Linked DNA regions of Rattus norvegicus. The protein of the gene in region 3 purifies or fractionates together with the protein of the main gene of each other region. This does not show direct contact. Links are inferred from orthologs where the notes say so. Each region holds a gene or a part of one and is shown on either strand. Other genes may lie near its edges. The genes, in order: Ppp4r3a, Supt5h and Rngtt.

Evidence for each region.
Region 1: the proteins of Rngtt (region 3) and Ppp4r3a purify together in Homo sapiens (affinity purification with mass spectrometry; 3 studies listed by BioGRID and IntAct, with this or other methods). This does not show direct contact. The link is inferred for Rattus norvegicus from reciprocal best matches to the Homo sapiens genes RNGTT and PPP4R3A.
Region 2: the proteins of Rngtt (region 3) and Supt5h purify together in Homo sapiens (affinity purification with mass spectrometry; 3 studies listed by BioGRID and IntAct, with this or other methods). This does not show direct contact. The link is inferred for Rattus norvegicus from reciprocal best matches to the Homo sapiens genes RNGTT and SUPT5H.

The regions. Positions count from the first base shown.
Region 1 is NC_086024.1:126,033,823-126,036,270, forward strand, and holds part of Ppp4r3a (serine/threonine-protein phosphatase 4 regulatory subunit 3A), read right to left. Parts: intron 1,368-2,448; coding exon 1,177-1,367; intron 777-1,176; coding exon 550-776; intron 1-549. UniProt on the Homo sapiens protein: Regulatory subunit of serine/threonine-protein phosphatase 4. May regulate the activity of PPP4C at centrosomal microtubule organizing centers.
Region 2 is NC_086019.1:92,734,412-92,738,068, forward strand, and holds part of Supt5h (transcription elongation factor SPT5), read right to left. Parts: intron 594-3,657; coding exon 431-593; intron 1-430. UniProt on the Homo sapiens protein: Component of the DRB sensitivity-inducing factor complex (DSIF complex), which regulates mRNA processing and transcription elongation by RNA polymerase II.
Region 3 is NC_086023.1:52,523,828-52,527,484, reverse strand, and holds part of Rngtt (mRNA-capping enzyme), read right to left. Parts: intron 2,640-3,657; coding exon 2,564-2,639; intron 1,501-2,563; coding exon 1,260-1,500; intron 1-1,259.

The DNA.
Region 1 (2,448 bases), on a different chromosome or scaffold from region 3:
CTGCTTCTCAAAAGACAGTACAACTTGAATGACTATGAAAATTCCTATCACTCTGCCTATGCCTTTACCTCAACAATGTTAGACTCAGCCTTACTTCTGAGGGATCTCCTACCTGTGTCAGATGAAATCAGACTGTGGGGCAAGCAAGATAGCACAGTACTTTCTATCAAGCCTAATGACCTAAGCTTGATCTTAGAGACACACACGACAGAAGGAGAACTGACCTCCTCCACACGTGCTTTGATGTGTTCACACATATAAACAGAAACAACTGCTCCCCCTCCCAAATTTTCACCTGGGTTCTAACTGGGAAAGGTAAAGAAGAACCTGTAGTTTATGAATTAAAAAAATACCAAAGGCAGACTATTGATTTGCACTGGACACATAAGTTTAGGGAGTGGTTGTGATGAGGTCTCACCTTCCAGTTCACAACATTTAGCTAATTCCAGAAAAGAAAACCAAAGAGAGAATCCAGGCATAAAGACTGCTGAGCAAGCGTAAAGCATGGTAGGAAAGGCAGCATGTGCGGACTCCCAAGTATGTGTGTACCTTTGTGGTAATAGCTGCCGGCTGAGATGTACTCTTAGGGACGGATCCAGGAGAGCCAGGAGAGCCTGGGGACCCAGGTGATCCTGGAGAACCAGGCAGGCTTGTGGCGGATGACTGGCTGGTGAGGTTAGTCTTTGTCCCACTGGACAAGGAAAGTTTGAAACTCGGGCTCTGTCGTCCAGAAAGATTAGTTTTCAGAAGCACCTCCTTTTCTTCACTCTCTTTCACTAAAAACGAGAATGTAGAATACCTGTCACTCACTTCTTTTCCTTAATTCCTCCAAATGAAGTGACACCAAGACACTGGTACCAGCTTCTTTCTTTGCTGAGGACAACCCTGCATGAAGCCCAACCTATGAACAAAGCCTATCCAAGTAACAACACATTATCTAGCAAGTATCACAATGCAGAAGTATGATCTTCAGTATTACACTTAGTATCCATAACCTCCACACCATCTTCCTTACATTAGGAAACTCAGCCGACACCTCGACACAGTCAGCAATTCAGCCGCACCCTGTGAGCCTTTGACTTATCATATATTCACAGTAGCCACTAATCATTTTCTCAAGAAATGAAGGACCAGGGCTGAGAGCCTCAGTTTCCCTTGCCCTTTGTTTCAACATACATTTCTTCCTTTCCATAAATTTACTTATTGGATCCATAATATCGTCATCATTCTTGGTTTTGTCAGATGGAGACACCACAGCTTCTCCGTCTTCCATGTCATCTTCATCTGTGTTGAACCACATCTCTTCTTCATCTTCTAGTGTCCTGGCATCTCGTCGGTATCGATGATTCCTCAAGATGGACCGCATGCTATGAGAAAATGGAAGACTGTAAGGGCTGAGGTACTGCTTAAACAATATCCTGGGCCTGATCACTGGCACCACTATAAGCAAATGCCAAACCACACTCAAACAAATACATAATTAAAAGACGGACCCTATCAAATGTAATATAAACTACTAGAATCAAACTCCCTATTTCCAAAATGGTAACTGTTCTAGATCAATGTACGGATTCCCCCCCCCCCCCCCCCCGAGCTGGGGACCGAACCCAGGGCCTTGTGCCAAATCCCCAACCTCAGAATGTACAGATTTTTGAACCATACTACAGAGGCTAGAGATGGCACAGTAGTTAGGACCTGGATTCAACTCCTAGCACCCAACAGCAGTTCACAATTATTTGTATCTCTAGTTCCAGGGAATCCAGCACACTCTTCTGTTCTCTGTGGTTGTCAGGCATGCCCCTGGTGCACAGACATAAGACATACTTGCAGATCTCTCTCCTCTCTCTTCCCTCCCTCCCCATCTCCCTTGGGAAAACCAACCCAAACTGCAAATATGAATCTAGTTATTTAAGAAGGTATGTGGTATTTTAAATAATCTATACGTAAGATAATATTAAATATGGAGCCTTACTACTATTATCAGTTTATGTTGGTGTCTGAAGATCTTACTATAATTTATCTATACTTTCAGAAACAAAACCAGCATGGGCATCAGCAAGACGGTGTAAAGAGTAAAGGCGCAGGGTTGGGGATTTGGCTCACGGTGTAAAGAGTAAAGGCGCGGGGTTGGGGATTTGGCTCAGTGGTAGAGCGTTTACCTAGGAAGCGCAAGGTCCTGGGTTCGGTCCCCAGCCCCAGAAAAAAAAAAAAAAATAAGAGTAAAGGCTCGTCCTGCCAAGTATGACAAACCTGAGCTTGAGCCCAGAACCACACGGCAGAAGGAGACAACCCGTTCCTGCTCTCAGTCCTGAGGCTACAGCACCAACACAGTGTACTTGTATGTGAACACAGACACAAAAAATAAAAAATGTTGAAGAAAAAAAAAAAAAAAAAAGGCAATGACAACTCCATTTCCCACAGTTTCTCTGCATGCCTTCCCACCTTCTC
Region 2 (3,657 bases), on a different chromosome or scaffold from region 3:
TGATGTGTCTGAAGAGAGTGACAGGGTACTCACTTATATAAAATAAATAAAATCTTTAAAAAAGAAAAGAAAACTGCAAGTCCAAGGCCAGCCTAAGCAAACTAGCCAGACCTTGTCTCAGAATAAAAAGTAAAAGAGGGCTAGAGGATGGCTCAATGGAATAACATGTGCCTAGGTGTGGGGGATGTGGCTCCACAAGTCATTAGTCGGCACAGTCAATCCCCACACTTCCTTTCTTTTTTCTCAACATGCCTCCTCCAACTCCCGAATGTGGAGATTAAAGGTGTGGGCCACCATTGCCAGGTAATCCCCACATCTTCATGTGAATGTACATGTGTACACATGTATGCACGCGCGCGCGCACACATACACACCCCTGAACCACAGACTGTCTTATGCACTCTTTAAGCTTCCTGGCTCTGTGACATACCAGCCTCATCTAAAATGAAGCCCCCATGGCGTGGTTTCTTGGGAGGCCGGTCATCATCCTCCTCCTCCTCCTCCTCATCGTATTCCTCCTCTTCCTCCTCCTCCTCTTCCTCGGGCTCCTCTTCTTTTTCACTGCCTGCGGCACTTCGCCGGTCTTCCTCTACCTACAGGATCAGAGTTGAGGCACCAGGATTTTACTATCCCCAAACCCAGAAAAAAACCTCATCTATCTCTGTCTCTGTGTCTCACACGCATGTCCACAATGCCCTCAAAGTCCCGACCTGACCAGGCCTCTGATCTGTCCTAATTCAAGTGACAGTAGAACCAAGACCCAGCCACTCAACCAACCCCTGGGAGCCAATCCTTTCACTGGATCCCTTACTCTGAGAGCCATTGCATACCAGGTATTTATGGCTTGTTGCTCTTCTCTGTGCTTCCTGAAAAGTCCAGCTCCTAACTCTGGGATCTGTTCCAGGTGTCTGATACTCAACAATGGATGTCCCTGGTGCTAACCCCTTACATTTCCTTTTTTTTTTTTTTTCCGGAGCTGGGGACCGAACCCAGGGCCTTGCACTTGCAAGCACTCTACCACTGAGCTAAATCCCCAACCCCCCCCCCCTTACATTTCCTAACACTAAGGGTCAACATAGCTGCTACTTCCCCTAGGCTCCAATCACTCCACTTGGGGGGGGGGGGGGGATCGAGAGCGAGAACGCGAGAGTGAGCACAAGAGCATGTGGTGGAGGTGTCATTCAGTAATGCAGACCCCCTTGGAACTCACTATGTAGCCTAGGTTGGCCCATGAATGTGTGTATGGCATCCTCCTGTCTGTTTCCCAAGCACTAGAGTATAGGTGTAAACCACATTCACAGTTTCCATTCATCCCTTAAAAGCAGCTTCAGACAGACCTTCCATGTCTCTCCCTAGGGCCATGTTGCTCCATCCTCCCACGCCTCTCTCATTGAGCCATTACCATCCAAGACCTCAACTCCCGTCTCTGCTGCTGATGCTTCTATTCTCCACTATTTTCCAGAAACAGAGCCTACCCCACATGCCACAGCCTCTGGGTCTGCCAGGCCTATACTCCCCTGGATTCTAATCCTTGTTTCTTACTAGTTACAAACAGATCCACAAATTCTGATGCTCAAGGATCAGCCTTTAACTCACCAGCTCAAGGCTCCTTCCTTCTTCACAGTGCTATAACCTATTCACCCAGTATCTCTCTATGTTGTTTTTATTCTAATTCTGCTTATTATATGTATTTGCACATGTGCATGTGCTCAGCCTATGTAAGTAAGTGCCAGCTGTGTGCAGGGGCCCTCAGCAGGTATGGGGTCCACTGGAGCCAGAGTTACAGACAGCTGTAAGCCACATGACCTGGACACTGAGAACCAGAGCCAGGTCTCTGGATGAGCAAGTGCTGTTAACTATAATGAAAGCTTGGCTTCTTTAAAAACCCAGTTACAATACATGAATGTTTTTTATTTAATCTCAGGTGTGAGATACAGGGCACTTCAGTTTGCCCATAGCTATTAACTATGATTGTCTCACTCTCCAAGATGGGCATCATTTTGCCAGCTGCACACACTTTAATTCTGGGGTCTCTGGAGAGAGAATAAATCCCAGAGCCCCAAGAGGCTGCTGCTCCTGGTGGCTGTTGTTGCAGTTTGACAAGAAGTTGGAGATATTCAGATGAAAGATTAAAGTGGCCCCAAGAAACACTGTCCCCAATCAGCAGGAAGTCCTGTAAAGAGGTCCACGCCCCCTTTCCCTGCTAACCTTTCCTTCCTACCTAGTGTTGGGGGCTGGGAGTGGAGTAAGGGTGGGAAGAGAGGAAGAAGTGCAAGAACTAATAAAGCAGAACTAGAACTTCAAAACTGCTCTTGACCTTGGTCAAGGGAGCGCCTTTTTGTTTTTGATCTACTCCATTTTATGTGAATAACTGTTTTACCTACACGTCATCTGTGCACCTCATGCATACCTGGTGACCAGAAAAAGCCATCAGATAAATCCCCAGGAATTAAGAGTTAAGGATAGTTTTGAACTGGTGCAGCGAACTGAACCAGGCCCTCATTTGAAGAGCACCAAATGCTCTTAACCACTGAGCCATCTCTCTAGCCCAAGGAAGATTTTTTTTTGTTTTGTTTTGTTTTGTTTTGCAGTGGACAGTGCTTAATGCAGACTCATAACTGGTCTAAGTGGCAAGAATAAGTGTACAGGGCTCGTGGTAGAAAGAATGTAAAAGCCAGAGGACAGGGGTGTTAGTATGCCGTCTTTTGTTTTTTTGGGCTTTTTTTTTTTTTTTTTTTTTTTTGTGCACTGTGTAGACTGTCCTTGTATTCAAATGCTGATTTCTGTGCAGATGGAGGTCTGGTTACAGGCTGGACTTGGGTACTGCCCTTACGATGACGCATATCCGGTTCTAGTATTTTTTTTTTTTTTTTTGGTTCTTTTTTTTTTCGGAGCTGGGGACCGAACCCAGGGCCTTGCGCTTCCTAGGCAAGCGCTCTACCACTGAGCTAAATCCCCAACCCCCTCAGTCACCTTCTGATTGGCAAATAAGAGCTGAATTGTCTATAGCTGGGCTGGACACAGGGTCCCAGGTGGGAATCTGAGACCAGAGCACCACTAGCCGGCAGGACAAGGATAAAGAAGCAGGTGCCAGCCCCAGACTAAGATGGACAGGTACTGGGCCACATGGAGGGATATAGGCCAGGCCAGTTCTGTCAGGTTAGAATACCTGAGAATCTGCCCGGCTATAGTGCCCAAATAAGTCTCAACTCAGAGCAAGAGCAGGCATAAACCCTTACAGCTACATAGGAGGGCTGTGAAACATTGTCTTCAAGATCCAATGAGCCTACTGAACTCATAGACTCATAGCAGCTTGCTCAACGGGGAGGGGCTCGTGACACCAGCTGAGGAGCTACTAGCAACTAATGCAGGCTGGGAGAGCAGGGGTAATTCTTTCTCAGCGGTGAGGCCACTAGGAGGGTGTCTATGCTCATGAAGGCAGCACTACTGGATTCAGTGGATTTAAAAGATCACAGGCTGGAGATAAGAGCACTGGCATAAGAGCAGATTAAAAGCACTGGCTGGGGGCTGGAGAGATGGCTCAGTGGTTAAGAGCACTGACTGCTCTTCCAGAGGTCATGAGTTCAATTCCCAGCAACCACATGGTGGCTCACAACCATCTGTAATGAGATCTGGTGCCCTCTTCTGGCCTGCAGT
Region 3 (3,657 bases):
TTATTAACACTAAACATATTTAGTAGTTTATAAACTAATCTCAATATAGCATCTAAGAGTTCTTTGATTTACATAAGAAACAGAACCAGAATGAAATTTCATAACTCCAGCCCTTTTAAGACTGCTGGGCTGCAAGGTGGTTAAGTGTTGCCAAGCCTGACAACTTGAGGTTGGAAGGAACGAGTCACACAAGTTGTCCTTTCACTCCCACCATGATATGCAAAGCCCCTCCACCCAAAGAATAAATAATTTTGTAAGACAAAATTTTAAGTTCCATTTCTAGCTAAAGTTTAACAGTGAGACATAGTGAGACAGGCTATCCCTATCTCAGCATCAGAGGCCCTGACAGGATGACTGGAGATTTGAGACCAGCCTGGGTCTCACAGTGAGATCCCACCACACCTGCCTTATGCTGTTACTTAGTGGGTTTAAGGTAGAATCAAAATTTCATAAAATCAGAAGACATTATTATGTTCTTCAACACACACACACACACACACACACACACACACACACACACATACATATATATATATAATATATATATATTATATATATATAGAGAGAGAGAGAGACAGACAGACAGACAGACAGACATGACAGAAATATAGCCTGTGGCAGTTTGAATATGCTTGGCATAGGGAGTGGCACTATTAGGAGGTGTGTCCTTGTTGGACTAGGTGTGGCTTTGTTGAAGGAAGTGCGTCACTGTGGAGGTGGGCTTTGGGACCTTCCTCCTAGCCATCTGGAAGACAGTCTGCTCCAGGCTTCCTTTGGGTGAAGAAGTATAAATCTGCTTCTCCAGTACCATGCCTGTCTGGACGTTGGTTGCTGTGTTTCCTGCCATGATGATAATGGCCTGAACCACTGAACCTGTAGGCCAGCCCCAAGTAAATGTTGTCCTTTATAAGAGTTGCCTTGGTCATAGTGTCTCTTCACAGCAATTGAAACCCTAATACAGAGCCAATATCCTACAATAAGTTTAAACAGAAATACAGAGCAGTATGGTATTTGGGAGCCACCATGGTGGCTCAGCAGATAAGGGCACTTATAGTTTGCCTGACAACCTGACTTTGACCCTCAGGATCCAAACACACATAGTAAGAAAAGAGAACTGACTCCTACAAGTTGTCCTCTGACTTCCACAAGCATGCTGTGCCATTCCCACACCAAGGTATTTAAACATGCACACCCACAAAATAAGTAAATAAATGTAATTTAAAAGAATAAAAGAGTATTACAGTATTTGTGAACATTACCAGTTTTAAGCGCTCTTTTCTCCTTTTCCCAAAGGAAGCACTGGACCCTGGTTCTGAGTCCTTTTTTCCATCCTCATCCTCGTCTTCTTCATCATCATCTTCAAAACACCAATCTGGCAATACAGGTGGTGGTGGTGCTTCTTCTATATCTCCATAGCGACGAAAAAGTTCCTTCAAATAATCACCCTTATAGATTCCTGGTGGTCTGGCTTGGGCAAAAGTAGCAACTGCTGCTTCAATGCTATGGAAACAATTATTTTCCCACTAGTATCCATTTAATGTAGACTTATCAATTATTAAATCATACTCAAGGTACCACAAAAAGTATAACTGGATTATATAACAGACAAATATAAGTCTGTCTTCACCTGCAAAGCTTTCAGTCAATGATAAACTAATTCTAAAAACACATACCCATAGTACACTGTAACATATGGTACACATATATCGTCTACATGGCCCACTATAATATATGGTCACTATAATACATGGTACATTCTAATATATTATATACTATCATATTTAAAGCACATTGACATGACTGCTTATGACAGACATGGCTAGCCAATGAAAGAAATTAATAGAATACTGAAGGTCAAGGTCTCTAAAAGAAAACTTGGGTCAAGAAAATGTGAATGGCAAGTGAACATACACAATGTTCATCAGAAACCACCAATAGCCCTAGGCCCCAAGATTACACATCTTGGAAGAACACTAGCCACTGGCCGGATCTGGCAAAGGAGTCTGATGCTACTGTGCACAGTACTCTGAAAGGCCAAAGCTGAAAAGTACACAACGTAGACAGCCATTGAGTATAAAAGAACAGAACACATTCAGATTAGTGTTTGCCTGACTGCATTCCAAAAAAGGACCTAATGTGTAAAAGGTTTTAGAAACATAAACAATGATCCTAGAACAGGAATAAGAAAATTCCGTTAGCAGTATCCTAGTCTCATAGGAATTTCAAGTAATTGGAATCTAATCCTTTAAAATCTGAAAATATAATTCACAAATAACAAGCTCAATAAAGACGAGACTTGTTTAAATAGATTAATGCCATCCTAAAACGCTTCCTTCATAGAGCATTATAGCTTTCCCTAGTTCTTCTCAGCCAGAGAAGAGAAACTTTAAAGGAAAACAGACCTTTCCAAAGCTGATTACAAATCCAAACATCTGAGATCCAATCTCTGTTAACTCCAAAATACGAGAAAAATATGAAAAGGAAATATATCATCTACAGGATTCATAAGCATCACAAATTGTTCATGTATCTTCTTCCACTATAACAACACTATTTAATATACCTCCAATCCATTTTTTCCACCAAAAAGGCACATATAAGGAAACCAGTGCGGTTGAAGCCATGGGTGCAGTGAACACCTAGGAGAGAAAGTAGCTTCGTGTTAAACTCAATCACTTCAAATGCCACAGAGTTTTAAAATGACAAATTTACTTTAAAATATTTCAGTTTATTTAAGTACACTACATATTCATACATTTTAAAAACTCAAAATATTCCTTATAACTTAATAGTTTGTCAATTTAGATTGCTTAGAGTGTAACAGAGCACTAGACAGAAATCTAAAAATACACTGGTGTATTAGTTTAAACTCTCTACTGTCTAAATTTGTCATTAAAATTTTTCAAGATTTTGAGTTTCAAACACACAACTCAGAAAGGAAGGGCACAAAAATACAAGACAACTATATTCCAGATATTCCAGAAACATTGGTGTAGTTTCCCAAGCTTTCTTTATGATCAATGTGAAATACAGTCAAACTACATTGGAAAAGAAAGTCTAAACCAGACTGGGGGGAAAATGTGTATAAAATCAACTGAGGACTGACAACGGTTGACTGTAGTCAACTAAGTGTGGGAGTCTGAACGAAACTGGCCCCACATGCTCACAGGAGAGGCATTATTTAAAAGGATGAAGAGGTGTGGCCTTGTTGGAGAAAGTGTGTCACTAGCATGGCCTTTCAGGTTTCAGAAAATCAAGCAGGTCCAGAGTCCTCTCTGTTGCCTATGGGTCCAGATGTAGAACTCTCAGCTACCTGTCCAGCACCATGTCTGCCTGCATGCTGCCATGCTTGTCAACAAGACAATGATCACTAAACCACTGAACCTGAAAGTCAGCCCCAATTGAGTGTTTTCCTTTGTAATAGAGTCGCCATGGTCGTGGTGTCTCTTCACATCAACAGAACACTAAGACGGCTGCAGATAACTGATTGACTAATGGGTGTACACTATTTTGAAAGAGCTTTAGAAACCAACTGAGTCTACCTTCACATGGGGCTTATACTATTTTAAAATAAATATTTATAAGAAAGAAACATGGAAAACAAATTTATTTTTCCTAAACCCTCTTTCAGAATATATTCAAGATCATTTTTCTGAG